Linked DNA regions of Drosophila melanogaster. Changing the gene in region 3 together with the main gene of any one other region gives a genetic interaction. Each region holds a gene or a part of one and is shown on either strand. Other genes may lie near its edges.

Region 1 (4,788 bases), on a different chromosome or scaffold from region 3:
TAATTCACATTTCCGCAACTTTTGGCTGGCCTTTGACGCAATTGGAGTTACCAGGGAAATTGAATTTTTTAAATTTGCATCGGGCAAACAAACAAGATGGAAAGCGGAAACAGCGCTAACAAAAGCAAGAACATAAATCCTGCCCGAGATGCAAAAACAAAAACACGGCAAAATGACAGAGAAAATGGAATTTATTAAATAGCATTCCGCGCAATAAACTCTTGCAGCAAAAAAAAAAAAAAAAACGAGCACAGCAACAAAAATCCACACACACACACACACACACACACACACACACACACGATCGCATAATCAAATAAAACAACTTGGACATGCAATTTTATGGCAGGACGTCGTTTTCCTTTTGGGCACCCTTCTCCTCGATTCCATTTCAGTGGCCCCCAGTTCAACGTAAACAGACGCAAAAACAATGGGGAACGAGTATAAAATGGTATATGTACGAATCGGAATTAAGAATACCCTATCGGATACGCACAGTATCAATCATCTATGGATGTGCGATGAATCGAAATATACAAGGAATAAGGAACATCTTATGGAGATCAAAAAACCGAATGGTTTTAAAATGCTTAAAAGCATGCAACATTTGGAGTTTGAAATCAAATAAGTTCATATATGTTTTATGTTTTTATTTAGAGTATTTCACCATTTTAACGAAGTTATAAGCCCTATTGCTAGGGTATTCAAAAATGGGATTAAGCCGAGAGGAGAATCGCAAAAAGACCGCTCAACATTTTTTCCATTAAGGGCGCCCAAAAAATAAAAAAATAAAAAAAACCGGACAGCTAAGAGGGGCTCAGGGATTTGCGGAGCTGGCCATCAGCGCATTCAGGTTTTTGGGACCTGCTGGACACAAATTAAACCAAGTGAAGCCAAATAAAAAGGTTAAATTAATAACCGTAGTCGCTCTTTAAAGTTCAAGCCAAATGCTATCTGTATGTATGTGTGTGTGTGTGTGTGTGTGTGAGTGCCTGTGCGAAATGCATATTTGAATATTGCATAAATCATCGCTTTTATTTCGATTTTTGTTTTATTCGCCATGCGGTTTGCTTTTGTTTTCTGCAAAAGCGCCTCATTAAATTACCATTTTAATGATTATTTAATTCCATCAGTTGGACAAATATAATAATTGAATATATATTTTATATATTATCTTTGCAGCCCAATAAGTTGTCAATGATAATATCTTAGGATTCTGCAATTACGTTCGATGGCAAACTTCAGCATTTGTATTTAAAATCTCATAAATTATTAAAGACTTTTAAATTTTATCTACATATGATGTAAGGTAGATTCTATTGAGATTTTCCGTATCAAAACCTAATATTTTGAGTAGCATTTTGTAAATGCCGTAAAAAACGTCTTACTTTCGTCATGCCTTCACTTAAAAAGCGTCAATATCAGTATCATTCAGATTTGCTGTACAGCACTTGAAATTCCTCGATTGCTAGGAATTGTGCAATCTTTTATTGCATTTTTTTAGAAATAGTTAGGTCGCGGCGGATATTTGTGATGGAAACCACACGAAACCAAACTGTCTGGTCTGAATTGATTTAAATTAATTGAATTTTAAAGCGAACCGGTAATCGGCAACCGGTTTCAACCGATTCAAGGCGAACCGTCCAATTGAGCAAACGGTATTTGAATGTTTTAACTGATTGATGTCAGTCGATATGGCCTGATTGTTCCGATACTGACCTGTGCTCCGGGTGCTTCGGCCTATTCCAGTTGACTCCGATTAATCCAACTCATGTGCCTGTTTTTGTGGCGGAATTATTGGGCGGAAGAGGGGATTTACGGGAATTAAAGCCGATTTGGGCGGATCGAAGGGACTTAACTTCGGGGCAAACACATTTGGTTTCAGGCACTTGTCTAGACTTTCCTCGGCGTTTCTCGGTGTTTCTTTCGGTTATCACACTCTTTATTCTAAATTTCTTCACTTGCTTTTGAAGCTATTAAGAGCACTAGTGGATTTTCAAATTTTGAATTGAGCATTCACGGTATTCTTCATGGTTTTCTTATAAGTTTCACTTTACCCATGTTAAGCTGGTAAAAATAGGGTTTCGATTTTATGTTTCAGTTGTGGCTGAACAATCTAGAAAGAATTTCAAAATTTTCGGTCACTATTACAGGTTTAAAATAAGAAAATGAATTTCGCGCAAGTTAGATTTTATTTTATTCTTATGTGTTTCAAACTTATAGTTGTGTTTATAAACTTTATCACATCGCTTTTAACAATTTCAAATTTTAATGGGCTAAATTTGATGCTTATCACTCTTAATTTCTGCCAGTGCATTTTGATCGCATTGTAAACATTTTTACAGAAACAAGAACAACAAATTGCGTTTCATTGCCACAGTGGTGGTCTCTGCGCCGTCGTCGGCAGCGACGTCGACGTCGGCTGCGAAAGGCGACACCATTTCACCGGCGACTATTAGCAGCAAGTGCGAGAGAAACGGACGATGGCGATCGCACAATTCCACACAACACACACACACACACATACGCATAGGCTGCAACTGTTGCAGCAGCCAAAACAACAACAAGACGGCTAAAAAGCGAGTGTTTTTTTTCGATTTTTTCGCGCTGCGACCTTGGAACCGTTAGCTTTTCAAGCTGAACTCTTGGACTGTTAAGTTGGCTGCCTTTTTAACACCTTAATAGCGCTTATCCAATTGTTTGCCTTTTGCTTTTGTTGCTTGTTGCTGCCGTCGCTGCTCTGCCGCTGTCGCTGCTGCTGCACTGCCTCTGCCGGCGTCAGCTGCTCGCCTGCGTGTGTGTGCGTGTGTCCGTGTGAGTTTCCGTTTGTTTTGTGTTGGGCCTTTTATTTTGTCGTGTTTTTTGTGCCCACCGTGCAATTGCAATATTTACGGATTATTCGCGGACCGTTGAGCGATATATGTGCGGTTTTTTGCGCGGAGTTGGATCGGCGGAGACGACGGAACAGCGATATATAATTGCAGCAGTTGCAAGAAGAAGAGCCAACCAGCAGTGGCTGCCAGTGTGTGCACACTGCGCAGCAGAATTGCCACCTGGCCGGCGGTGTTGCCACATCGCTGGATTTCGTGCTGCGATTGTCTGGAGTGTAAGAAGAAGAGCAGTGGATCAGCTGTTGCTCACAAGCGGCTCAAATTGAGTTATGTGCTAACGCGTTCGTGGAAGATTTGGGCGCGCAATTCAAAAATGTAACATAACGGGATTTAAAGATTTCAATTTAAATAAACTTTGAATCTATAATAATCTATTGTTCGAATTAAGCGTCGAAGTAAAGTTTTCAAATAGTATACTTTGCGTCACAACTCAACCCAAAATCAGAACATTGTAACAGAAATAATTAGGTCTGAAAATGAACTCAATAGTGATTTTTATTCTGCACTTTTTCTTGGGTAAGCAATTAACATATGTATAAAATAAATTCTACTAATGAATTTTCCCTGCCGGCTTAGGAATCACACTCGGAACAGCTATTCCCAACGAAATAAGTGTGAAAATGGCAGTGCCAAATAATTCTGTTACTATGAAAACCGAAGAGTTCCTGCTGCAAAACGAAAATATTCCCTTTGGTCTTCAGAGTATTCCGCATTACTTAAAACATCTCATTACAAATGTGGACAGGGATATCCCGGGAAAGAGAAAACCGAAGATTACTCAGTACTTCAAGCTGAGTCCAGAAATGGATAATTTGCAGATGATGCGGTTTCTTATCGAGACCTTTGGCAGATTCATTGGACTCATTACATAGGCGTAGTATGTTCTTTTTTGATATATTTTCCAGCTGTGAGAAGAATTCCAACGCGCTCATAAATAAGAAAATGAAAGGAGAAGACGATGAGGTTTTGATGATTTCAAATGAGAGGAACTTGATGAGATTTTTTGGTCAAGAGCATTTATTTCGAATTCAGTTTTGCAACGAGGCCAAAGGAGAAAAGAAATGAAGTATTAAAACTGATAAATGATAGAAGAATTCGTTAAGGAAGAACAAAGAAATATGCCACAGAAAGCTTTCAACTAAAGACGGCAAGAAACGAAGATTTGCTTTCCAAATAATAAACAACAGATAACAAGGTACATTTAAGGTTTTTTCATTGGTTTCTTTTATATGTATATATATATATATATATATTTATATATATATATAGATCTATGTATATATAGTATAACATTGTTAACATTTACTATTGACTATGTAATATCCGCTGCAGAGATACTTTTCGTGTTTCGTGTTCTGTTTCAGTTTCGGTTTATGTTTTTCTGTTTGATTTGCAGGTACTTAGTACTACTTTGCTCCTTGGGTTTGCGATTATTGTACGCTTGTCCTATATATACACACGCTATAACATATAGTTTTTTAATAGGTATCCATGGTTAGATATATGAGAATTTGGGGGGCTTCTTATATAGGTTCCTTTGGGTAGGGTGGAATACTAAAGAGTTTAGGCGTTAATAAATACATCTCGAGTTTTAGTTGGTAAAATTGCTAACATTTAGTAAGTAACTATGTTGTACATTCAAGGGCTACATCGTATAAGGTATCGCTGATCTATAACGATCGTAAATATATCTATGTGTATACAGTATACAGTGTGTATATGAATATGAAACAATCTGCAGTTATAGATTCTAGGCATAGGCTATGCAGTGAAGTCTTAGACGAGTTTAAATAGCACTTTCTCGAAGTTCGTACATCTATAAATAGTAAATATATGTATATATATATATATATTAGGTATATATATATATCGTGTATATGGCTACTCTGTAGATTAG
Region 2 (4,915 bases), on a different chromosome or scaffold from region 3:
GAGGCTCGGGCTTCGGAAATACCTAGCCTAATACAGGCTTTCGGTATTTGAGGAGCGCGGCTTCTTTAGCTTCTCGAGGTTCTTAATAACAATGTCGTGCAGCGAGGAGTAGCGATTGCGGACCTCACAAACGACCAGCCACAAGCTGAGGTACTCCTTCTCGTCAAGTTCGACGACTGCGCGCCGATAATCATCGATGTGCGGATACTTGGCCACCTTGGACACCACCTTGGCGCGCGACAAGAAATAGCGCGATATCTGGTCAAAGAAGGCGGCCGCCTCGGATTCCACAGTTTGAATTTCGGCAAGCGTGTCCTCTTGAATGGAGACGCCAAAGTTGTTGCCATCCTCGATCTTGGGTATCATAAAGGAGATCCACATCTTAAGTAGATTGGCTGCAAAAGAAATCAATTCAGAAATTACTAGGTATTCATTAAAAAGCTTAATGTCAGGCAAAACTTTAGCTACTGGCATTTGTACCGTTCGAATGTAAAAATTCTTGGAATTCATTGTTTTAGGAAAATTGAAGGGGCTCTTGAATAGCATAAAAACATTTATTAGGTTGAGACGCTTGAATATACGGTGTACTTACAATCCTCCACAAGCTTCCTGATGATAGGCTTGACGACCTTGATCATCTCGCAGAGCGGCTTGTTGCACGGCACTGTACCGGCGGGCAGACCCATGACAGGCTGCCCAGAGACGATGACATCCACGCGCTGGCGCTTGGTGGGCAGACTGTCACGATCCTCCAACTCGTTTTTAACCAGGAGAGGCGGCAGGACCGGGATGTTGAGGTCCTGGTGCACTTCTTCGAAGTTGCGCTCGTTGAAGATCGGCGTGGCCAGCAGCTCGTTCAGCCGGACGATATTCTCCGGGAACCCCTTGGTGATTAGCAGCTCTGCCTTGAGGATCAACGAGTCCTTGTACTCCTGCACCTTTACCACAGTGTCGTTAGGCATTTCGTTAGCTATGTGGATTCCTTTTCGTGTCCGTGGAAGCCTTTGATCCTGAGTCCTGTCTCCTGGCGTAGTACCGGTTCTTCTCGTTCCTTATCTTCTCAATAACAATCAGCAACGCGGACCGTCTGAAATCGGCGGACTTTTAGGGACTTGTGTCGGCGGATTGCGAAATTGAAAGCGGGAAAACCAGACTTACCGACAAATTTTGATGCCCAAGCAACAACACGCATGTGGTGCTAGAGGTGGAAGAAAAAGAATAATCGATGCTTATCGATAGCGTCGAAGTTTGCAGAAATTTTGCAAATTAATACCCCACAAGTATCTTAAATATCTTGAATGTCAATATATATTTTTTCTATACTTTTTTTAGATTGAAAGTCTTCTAATTACTTTCAGTTTCATAAACAAATTAGCTGAACATTAAAGTTGGCAAAACATATTTAAATGCATTAATGTACATTGCAGTTGGCATCATTTATTTAAATGCAACAGCTGAAGCTCGCTTCTCATTTACCATGTTAAACTTGCATATACTTTGTTGTAACGTGATTAGAATTTAACGGATATATATCATGAAATATAAAGAAATAAGACGCGCGCCATTTATCGATAGTCTTGTGTGCACCGCGTGCCAGACCGATAGATTTGTTTAAATACCAAGTAAGTTTATTATGTCTCCCTTTGTGCAATTTAAAATGTTTTCATTTAAATATCTATATTTTTAAAATATTTTCCATATATATATATTATAAGTAATATTAAGCTATTAATATTTTTAGAGCAAACACGCTATAAATAAGTGTGCCCAAATATAAGTTTTAGTATACATCGGCATTCTTATCAATAATCGTCAAACTGACGTTTTCTCGCTTCACCATTATCGATTCTCATCGATGTTTTTCCAGCTCTATCTAGTTGGCATCTCGTTAGTTGCGATAGTTGGCATGTTACGTGTGTTTTCGGCTTCGTCGCTTCATTCTCGTCTCGTTCTCGTTTCCTTCCTCCTTTATTCCGATTCCTCGTTTTGCGTGTATTGCGCGGTACAACGCATACGAACAAATTTATCCGAAGCGAAATACCGCGTGCAGCAACAAAAGAAAAACACACTCAACAACAACAACACACACGCATGCACACACGCATGCAGTCATTATCGCAACACCAATAACAACAGGAAGAACAACAACAACAAAAACATTTCTAACGCGCTGAAAATTGCGGAGTCCAGCCTTTTATATTTGCTGCATTTGCTATCTAACTTGCCGCACAATTGTTCTGTTCCGTTGACAGCATCAAAAACGCATTGTTAAAAAGAAATTAATATATAAATTTTAAACAAAACACAAAAAAAAACCAAGAAAAGAACGAAAAACGCGTGGGTGCGCGGTCTGTTGATTTTTTTTTTGTGGTTAACAACAACAACAAGAACCATCGGAGGGACGAACATCAAGAACAACCACCGTTAGCAGTAAGCAGGAGAATCAAAATGGTAAGTTTAAGTTAGCTGGCTTTTTTGTTGTTGCCGTCAATAGCATGACTTAATATAAATTTCTTTGTTGCTAAATTTTGACACACTCACATTTACCCACACACACATGCATAAAACAAAAACAAAGCGGCTGCAGAAGCTGATGAAGGAGAATAATAATGAGAAGAAGGAGCAGTAGCCAACTCATTCAATAATTGTTGTTTCTCCTTTTCTTGCGCCTTTCGCTCTTTCCTCGTCCACCCATTTTGTTGTTGTTGCTGTTTTTTTTATCTGCAATTGTTTTCTTCTGTAATTTCTAAGGATGCATTTTATATCGCAGATTCGCGTGGCCTGGAACCATGTGTTTTTCTCTCCCTCTCATACTCCCTCTTAGCGCTCGCCCCTCTCTTTCGTGCACACACGCTGAGTTTAGTTTTGGCGTTTTTTCCCCCGCACACGAGTTAAACGAATTCAGTCGACAAAAGTTGCGCTAGGTTAGGGTTAAGGCCATGCGACTCAGGGGCAACATGTGGGTTAAGACCATGGGCGGGGTATGGGGCTATGGGTCTATGGTGCATCATTGAATTGAGGATGACAACTATTTTTCAGGGGGCGGCATCGTTTTGAATGTTATCAAAACTATGACCATACAATTTCTATTTCTACAAATGTAATTTAAATTATATAGTCCGTAATAGTGTTGCTAATCTATTCAAAGAATCATTTTTTATAAAATATGTTAATAATATTTATTTGTATCATCAATTACTGGAAATTTGATATACTTATGCCAGCTTTTGACTACTCAAGTGTTTTACAAGTACCGCAGCTTTACAGTGATTGATTTGTGAAATGCTTATGCTTTTGTTTACGTGCAAAGAAAATAACTTTAATTCCTCTCAAAATGCACATATTTGTTATCTAAATTATCCTTATCCCTATGATATAATAATACGATTCACAATTTGTTTTCTTGATAAAGAAATAGATTTGATTATCGTTTATTTACCCGGATTTATTCGTTATTATTCCAAGTTTTTTTTTCCTCACACTTGTTGCTCGGCATGAGCGACGGAACCCCTGGCAGAGACTCAAACCACTCACGCAAAAGTTCGATAGAATCCCCGCTAAGGGGTTTCCACTGTAGAACTGCAGTTGGTGCAGCTGCAGCTCAGAAATGCATCCTGAGAAATGCGAGTTGCCCCTCCCACACAAGCTGCGCTGCTTTTCCTCTGCTGCAGCCAGAGCATTTCTGATTGGGGAGGGTGGGTAAGTGGTCCTACGAGCCGTGTTATGTATCGCCGTGTCCGCTTTGGCCAATGCATTCCGAGTTTTTTGGCGCCTGCGCTTTCACATTTCCCTCGGCCCGGTCAACATCTCTTTGCCAACTCCTGGGAGCGGGAGCCTTTATTAGCTAAATCTCTCCCCATTTTTGTAACATTTTTCAGGTCTATTTTCCTTGGCCTTTGTTTGTGTCCTTTTTTGTCCGTTTTTATCTGCACCTTTTGTTTTTATTTTTTCATTCGCCTACCCTGCTGATAAGGGTTAATGTTGTGGCTGTTTATTTTTCGTAATTCATACCAACTTTTTTTTTTTTTTTTTTTTTGGCAACAACATGTTGATGTTTCTATTTGTGCGAGAGGGTGGTTGATGGAAACACATGTTTTTGGCCACAGATTTTCAACATTTCCCTTGTTGCAAGGTCATTCGTTTTGATTTTATTTTGTGTGTCAACAAAAATGTTGCAATCCATTAACAGGCGGAGGTGTGGATGAAATATTGCGGAGTTAGAATTGATTTGGGAGTGAGAACTATGTTTTCGTTGAGGAATGCATTTCAGATGCTAATAGCGAATTCTTATTTTTATCTTTTGAGCCTAATTAAATGACTTCAATGTAAATGATTAATTAATTAAGTATCTAGTATCTATCTATCCTAGCCAAATACAATATAATAATATTCATTTTAAAGAGGTGATTACTTGAGTTAAGCTGGTTTTTGAAATCTGATTGGAAAAATGTTGAGAATATATCGCACTGTCGTAGATCAGTTTTTATAGTGATCGATCATTCCAGCGGACGTTCACTGTCCTCACTGCATTTGTTTGTCTCGGCTGCTTCTGTTTGCTTTGCTTTTGGCCCAAGTCCCTTGCCAGTTGTTTTATCCCGGAGCACACAGAGGTACACGGTATATATGTTTGAACGCATATAGCCAGCGAACGAGCCAACCAGACCCGTCGCCACCCTCCGGCGCCCACCAGCACCCTACCCCTTCCCCAAGGACGTGCCCACATCCACAGCCACAGCAGTCTGTCTTGCTCTAATTGCTGTACATGCGCTGCAGATTGCTGCTCCTCCTGGCACCCCCCCCCCCCTCATCCTCCACAACTTTCGACCTGCTCCAGTCCCCCTGACCAACCCCTTTGGCCGCATTCAGCTGCCAACTGAGCCAAAACCCTTTGGTTTAAAGGGGTTGGGGTTGAGAG
Region 3 (4,947 bases):
TTGAGCCATTCTTTGTCTCCGTTTCTCGTTTTCTTTCTCTTTACTGGCCACTACTCCTATTTTTACTGCGATCACTGAGGCTTGAAGCGACTAGTTAGTTAGTTCTTCGTTTCTTTTCATTTTTTGCCATTTCCACGTCAACTTGCCTTGACTGACAGACAGTTGTTGTAGAAAAAAAAGCAGGGAAGAAGTTAAAACAACACAAGGGGACATAAAAATGTATGAAAGCACGCATTTTTATTATAATTTTCCCCGACTTTTCCTCGACTTTCCTACAGGTGTTTGCTTTGGTGCCCCTACCCTGCATGTTGTTTATTAATCATTTAAATTCATCATCATAATCAACCGTTAACAACGGGCTTGGGAAACAGTTACAAGCGCAAGTGAATCATCCATCGCATTGTGTGGGAGTAGTCGTCGTCTTCCTCTTTGGCTTCTAAATTGCAATTAATTATGTTATGCGAAGAAAGAGCAGAGCCGAGAAGACTACGAGTGCTCCCCCACGAGTCCCAGTCTTCATTCATTCATTCATTCATTCACTCACTCGCTCACTCACTCACTTCTTCGACGCTCAATGTTAATATGAAAATTGCATAAATGCGAAAACAAGGCGACTACGGTTATTTGATAGTTAAATTGAAATTTAAACGCAGCATGGGACAAGAAAGGGCCAAGAAATTGTGAGAATAATACCTTATAGAATGGGCAGAAAATTGAATTAAATTGCATTGCTAATGGCAAGCTAATTGCCCGAGATATTATTTTAAATGACAAATTAAACTATTCCACCTTTCCCTGTAAGTAAGTAAGGAAATGAGTCAGAATTATTGGGCAGATGTTTCTGCCTACATACGGGGAGCATTTTCAGCAGTCCCAAGACCCCAGGAGGTTGGCGTCGAGACACTTTTTTGGGACGTTGTTAAAATTAGCGACTAAATAGCAGACTGCAAAAAGAAGCTGGTCGAAGAGTGAAGTTTAAGCACGCAACGTGCCAAAGTTGGGAGAAAATCAAGAAGTGCGGAGAGCGGTAGAGGATTGGAGCACATGCAGGGTGCACGGTGAGTAAATGGGTACTATTATCAATAAAGAGCTCCCTATCAGCTTAATATTGTGGATCTAAGTTGTAATTTCTTCGTAGCTAAATAGTTCTGAACTATGAAATGTATACTATGTACACATACTATGTATGGTCAAGATTTATTATAATTTAATATTTTCTTATCTTTGAAACTAACCCACACATTAACAACAAAATATTTAGTGTTATTTTCTAGAGATCGCACTGTTTGGAAACCCTGCACAACTCTTTTTTTTATCCGTGTAACCAGGGGATGCTGGCGTTAAAGATCAATGAAAGCATGACAGAAGAGAAACAACGCAAGGAGGGGAGAGCAAGTGAGGCTGAGCATGTGTCGCGTTGACCTACGCAGAGCGAAAAGTAAACCGAAAAAAATCGCATGTAAAAAGCGCATGCAAAGCGGAGGGACAGAGGAGGAGATGACGGCGAAAACGGCAGATGTTGCCCAGCATCATCAACTTTTTAGCATGGGCTTGTAGCACAGCATTACTATATAGCCTCATATTGAAATCGAGCAGTTTTATCATTTTTTGCTGCTGCTCTGGATGCATACGCCGTTGGTGGTAAATTTTGACGTTGAGGCAGACTTGGATCATCTCTGTTTTTACACGGAGAACAATTAGTACACATAGTAGGATTTCTAAGAAGTTGAACTGATCTGCATGTCAAAAATTATCTTGAAGGTATTTCTTCTAACGTATGCCTCATATTTTTCCGCTGTGTACTAGAATTAAACCATTTTTTGGGGATGGACCTGTTTGGGCATTGGCCTCGCATGTTTCCAAACTAGTTTTGCTCTATGAAATATGTATGCATGTTCCGAAAAGGGTGATACGATCCGATCCACAATTTCCACCCCTAAAAGCCAACCCGCTTAAAATATCAACTCAGCTGTTTCTACCCAAAAGTTCTCGGGTTACCAGCTTGAAAAATAAGTTTGGAAGCAAACGCGATGTTGGAGTGGTTTCAAAATAGATATTTTGAGATGATCATACGGAACCCCAAAAGTTTTAAAATATTTAGTAACCTGGCAACCCTTCAATCGTTTCTTCCCTTTTGGCCCCACACACACACATGCGCGCACAACACACCAGCTGCAAAATTCAGCGGTGAGTGCACGCGTGCGCGTAGAAATAAAGAAAATAAATTGCCAAAAAATACAACTTGTTGGATGGAAAATGAGCGCTTTTCCTGGGACTGAAACTCACCTGCACGATGACTGTGAAGCAAATGAATGCTGTTAATAAACATTTAATCCAATGCATGTTTATTGATGTTTTTGTTGCTGATTTTTTGGATTGAGTGTCGCTTTTAGTGTAATAATCCACGGGCTGTGTGTGTGTGTGTGTGTGTGCGGCAACTACTCAAATTGTTTATTGTGTTTATGTTTTGAATTTTTTTTTTGGTTACTTGTCGCACATGGTTTTGCAATTCGCTTTTAGCATTTTCGTTGTTTTCTTGTTGTCGTTGTTGCAAGCTACACGTGCACGCGCCACATTTTTTGTTGCAATTTCCTCGACTGTGTTTATTTTTAAGTGTCGCGAAATAAAAGCTCTTTTCGCGAACTGCGGAGTCTTCTCCTTTTCACGCAGAAAAGCGCAAAAGGGAAAAGCGAGAGAGGGAACTAACGGTGCCGCGATTCTTAATCATTCGCGATTTTTTAATCTTTCGGAGGAAACACTTCTTGTTATTCTGTTAGAAGATCTTTTATTTTGATTTCTGGTTCTGGCACTTTTCTTTTGGTACATTCAAATATCGAATGAGAACTGCCCAGAGTCGCGGTAATCTGCAATTCTTAAGTGAACTATTGCATTGGCAGTTCGCGTCACACACCGAATATTTGGTCGCGTTTCGAGTCGGGGACTTGTGTTTTTCAAAATGCCTTGGCTGCGGAGCTGCCTTTTTCGAGTTATTCGCGCGGCCGAGTTGAAAAACGTAATGCCGTTCATGTCCACGACCAAAACACTATTCACCTTCACCGCCGCGAATCGTACTAAAAAATACCACGAAACGTACTCGCTCTCTCATTTCTCTCTTTCGCTCTCAAAACGAGTTCCGTGGCAAAATTAGTGCATTTCAGCAGATGCAATGCAACAAACCGTTTTGAATAAATAGTCAACTTACACATTTTAAAAACTATTTAAAATTTCAATATACATTACCAAGTTTATTTTGATATAAGAATTTATTATATTGTTTAACTTCAACCGGACGGGTGTTTATTTGTACAAATTTCCAAGATTGTCTCTAAATAATCTTCAAAATTCGGATTTTTTATTTCTAGATATTCTACTTTTATTTTTATATCTAAAATAAAACAAATCAATTCAATTCGTTTACGTTAGCAACATTTGATTCCCCGTTTTGCTAGCAGTTTCAGATACCAGTTGGATACCGGCTTGTAAGCATTTCGTTAGCAACATTTGATTCCCGGTTCGCTCAATTTACCGATTCAGCTCACGCGAAAGTTGAAAGCAAAATGCTTAGCAACATTTATTGTTGCCAAGATGAGAACCAAAAATAAAATTAAAGATGGATATTTGTATTTAATATAAATATTTGAATTTTATTATATTGGGTGCTTATAACTTATTGAATTGGCATGCAAGTATATCTCCATCATCTTCATTAGCAGGTACGTCATCAGTCTTAGGGTCTTGGTATTTATATTCCACCAAACTGCCGATCCAAGCATCCAATGTCGTTAGTATGATCAAAATCGAATGAGTTTCACTTCGCTAAAAACAACTTCTGCTGAAGACGTTTTCAGAGACGGAAAATGCATCATCATATGAATTTTTTTGGCTCTGATAACTTCTCCAGGACTGTCGCTCTTATGGAGGTGAAACTCCTTCGAGTTTGGGCATACTAAATTCATTGAAAGAGGATCCATAAACTACATATTAATTGTCCAAGCTGCTCGGTGGAAATTGCTGAAGATACCATCTAGCTAAAGGTTTGGAATCTCATTAAATATGATCAGAATGTACAAATATTTACAAGCCTCTGCCTCAAAGATCCATTGGCTCGGAAATACCATCTTGTGATAACATCTTCACTGCGTTGCATATGTTTGCTCCACAATAACCAAATGAACTAGAATCTCTATTGAAATAAACGATAAATAACTATATAACCAAACAATATTTCAAAATCAATAAATTTTGTTCTAAGCATTTTGTGTAATAGTAATAATTTTTAATACTTGCATTTATTTTCAACGAATATTAAAAAAAATAAAAATAAAATTTTTTTTTTGAATCCAAATATTTTCTAGTTGATATAGGACTGCCGACGATGCCGAATCGAGCTAAACTAAATATTTTTATGAAAATAGATTGAATATGATGTGTTCGCCTACTACGATTTCATTTTGGCTTTACAATTTTAAATAGCTGGCCTGATTTTCCAATTTGTACTTCCATTCTATTCTGTAAAAATCTTAAGGTAAAAATGCTAAGTCTGTACACCTATTTATTTTATTATTATTCCTAACAAATCATTAGATTCTTCGGTGGTCTCTGGATCCAAACTTTCGTTAAAAATTGATCCAATTACTTAACGAAAAGAGCAAGATTAATTTGATTCGATTTTTTGATCAAACATTGTAAATCACTCGAAAACAGCAGTTCATTGAAATGGTCTGATAAATGGGTCAGCAAGGCAAAGGGCTGAGAATAACATGGCCAGAACTCTCTTCACGCGAAATAAAGTTGTTGAAATTTGTACAATAAAAATCGGTCTTCATTAATTTGCATCGAACGAGGGACATTTGCATATGCATGAGACCAGGAGGAGACCAGACAGGAGACCCCAGAAAACGAAACCAATCAAGTCAACACCCAATTTTACAAGGAAATGCGGACCAA

The links.
Region 1: of Delta (region 3) and px, changing one enhances a phenotype caused by changing the other (phenotypic enhancement), as found in Drosophila melanogaster (2 studies listed by BioGRID).
Region 2: of Delta (region 3) and sno, changing one suppresses a phenotype caused by changing the other (phenotypic suppression), as found in Drosophila melanogaster (2 studies listed by BioGRID).

What each region holds. Positions count from the first base shown.
Region 1 is NT_033778.4:22,559,027-22,563,814, forward strand, and holds the start of px (plexus), read right to left. Parts: upstream 3,040-4,788; 5' UTR 2,893-3,039; exon of another isoform or gene 2,873-2,892; intron 2,117-2,872; 5' UTR 1,720-2,116; intron 1-1,719. Other genes in the region: CG11362 (uncharacterized protein), read left to right, coding at 3,368-3,407, 3,468-3,763.
Region 2 is NC_004354.4:13,208,636-13,213,550, reverse strand, and holds the start of sno (strawberry notch), read left to right. Parts: upstream 1-1,876; 5' UTR 1,877-2,448; coding exon 2,449-2,451; intron 2,452-4,915. Other genes in the region: REG (proteasome regulator gamma), read right to left, coding at 28-395, 593-962. UniProt on the Drosophila melanogaster protein: Notch pathway component, may contribute to the specificity between lateral and inductive Notch signaling pathways in the wing disk. Required during many developmental stages including oogenesis, embryogenesis and imaginal development of the eye, wing and leg.
Region 3 is NT_033777.3:19,323,196-19,328,142, forward strand, and holds the start of Delta (delta), read right to left. Parts: upstream 3,023-4,947; 5' UTR 2,344-3,022; coding exon 2,287-2,343; intron 1-2,286. UniProt on the Drosophila melanogaster protein: Acts as a ligand for Notch (N) receptor. Essential for proper differentiation of ectoderm. Delta is required for the correct separation of neural and epidermal cell lineages.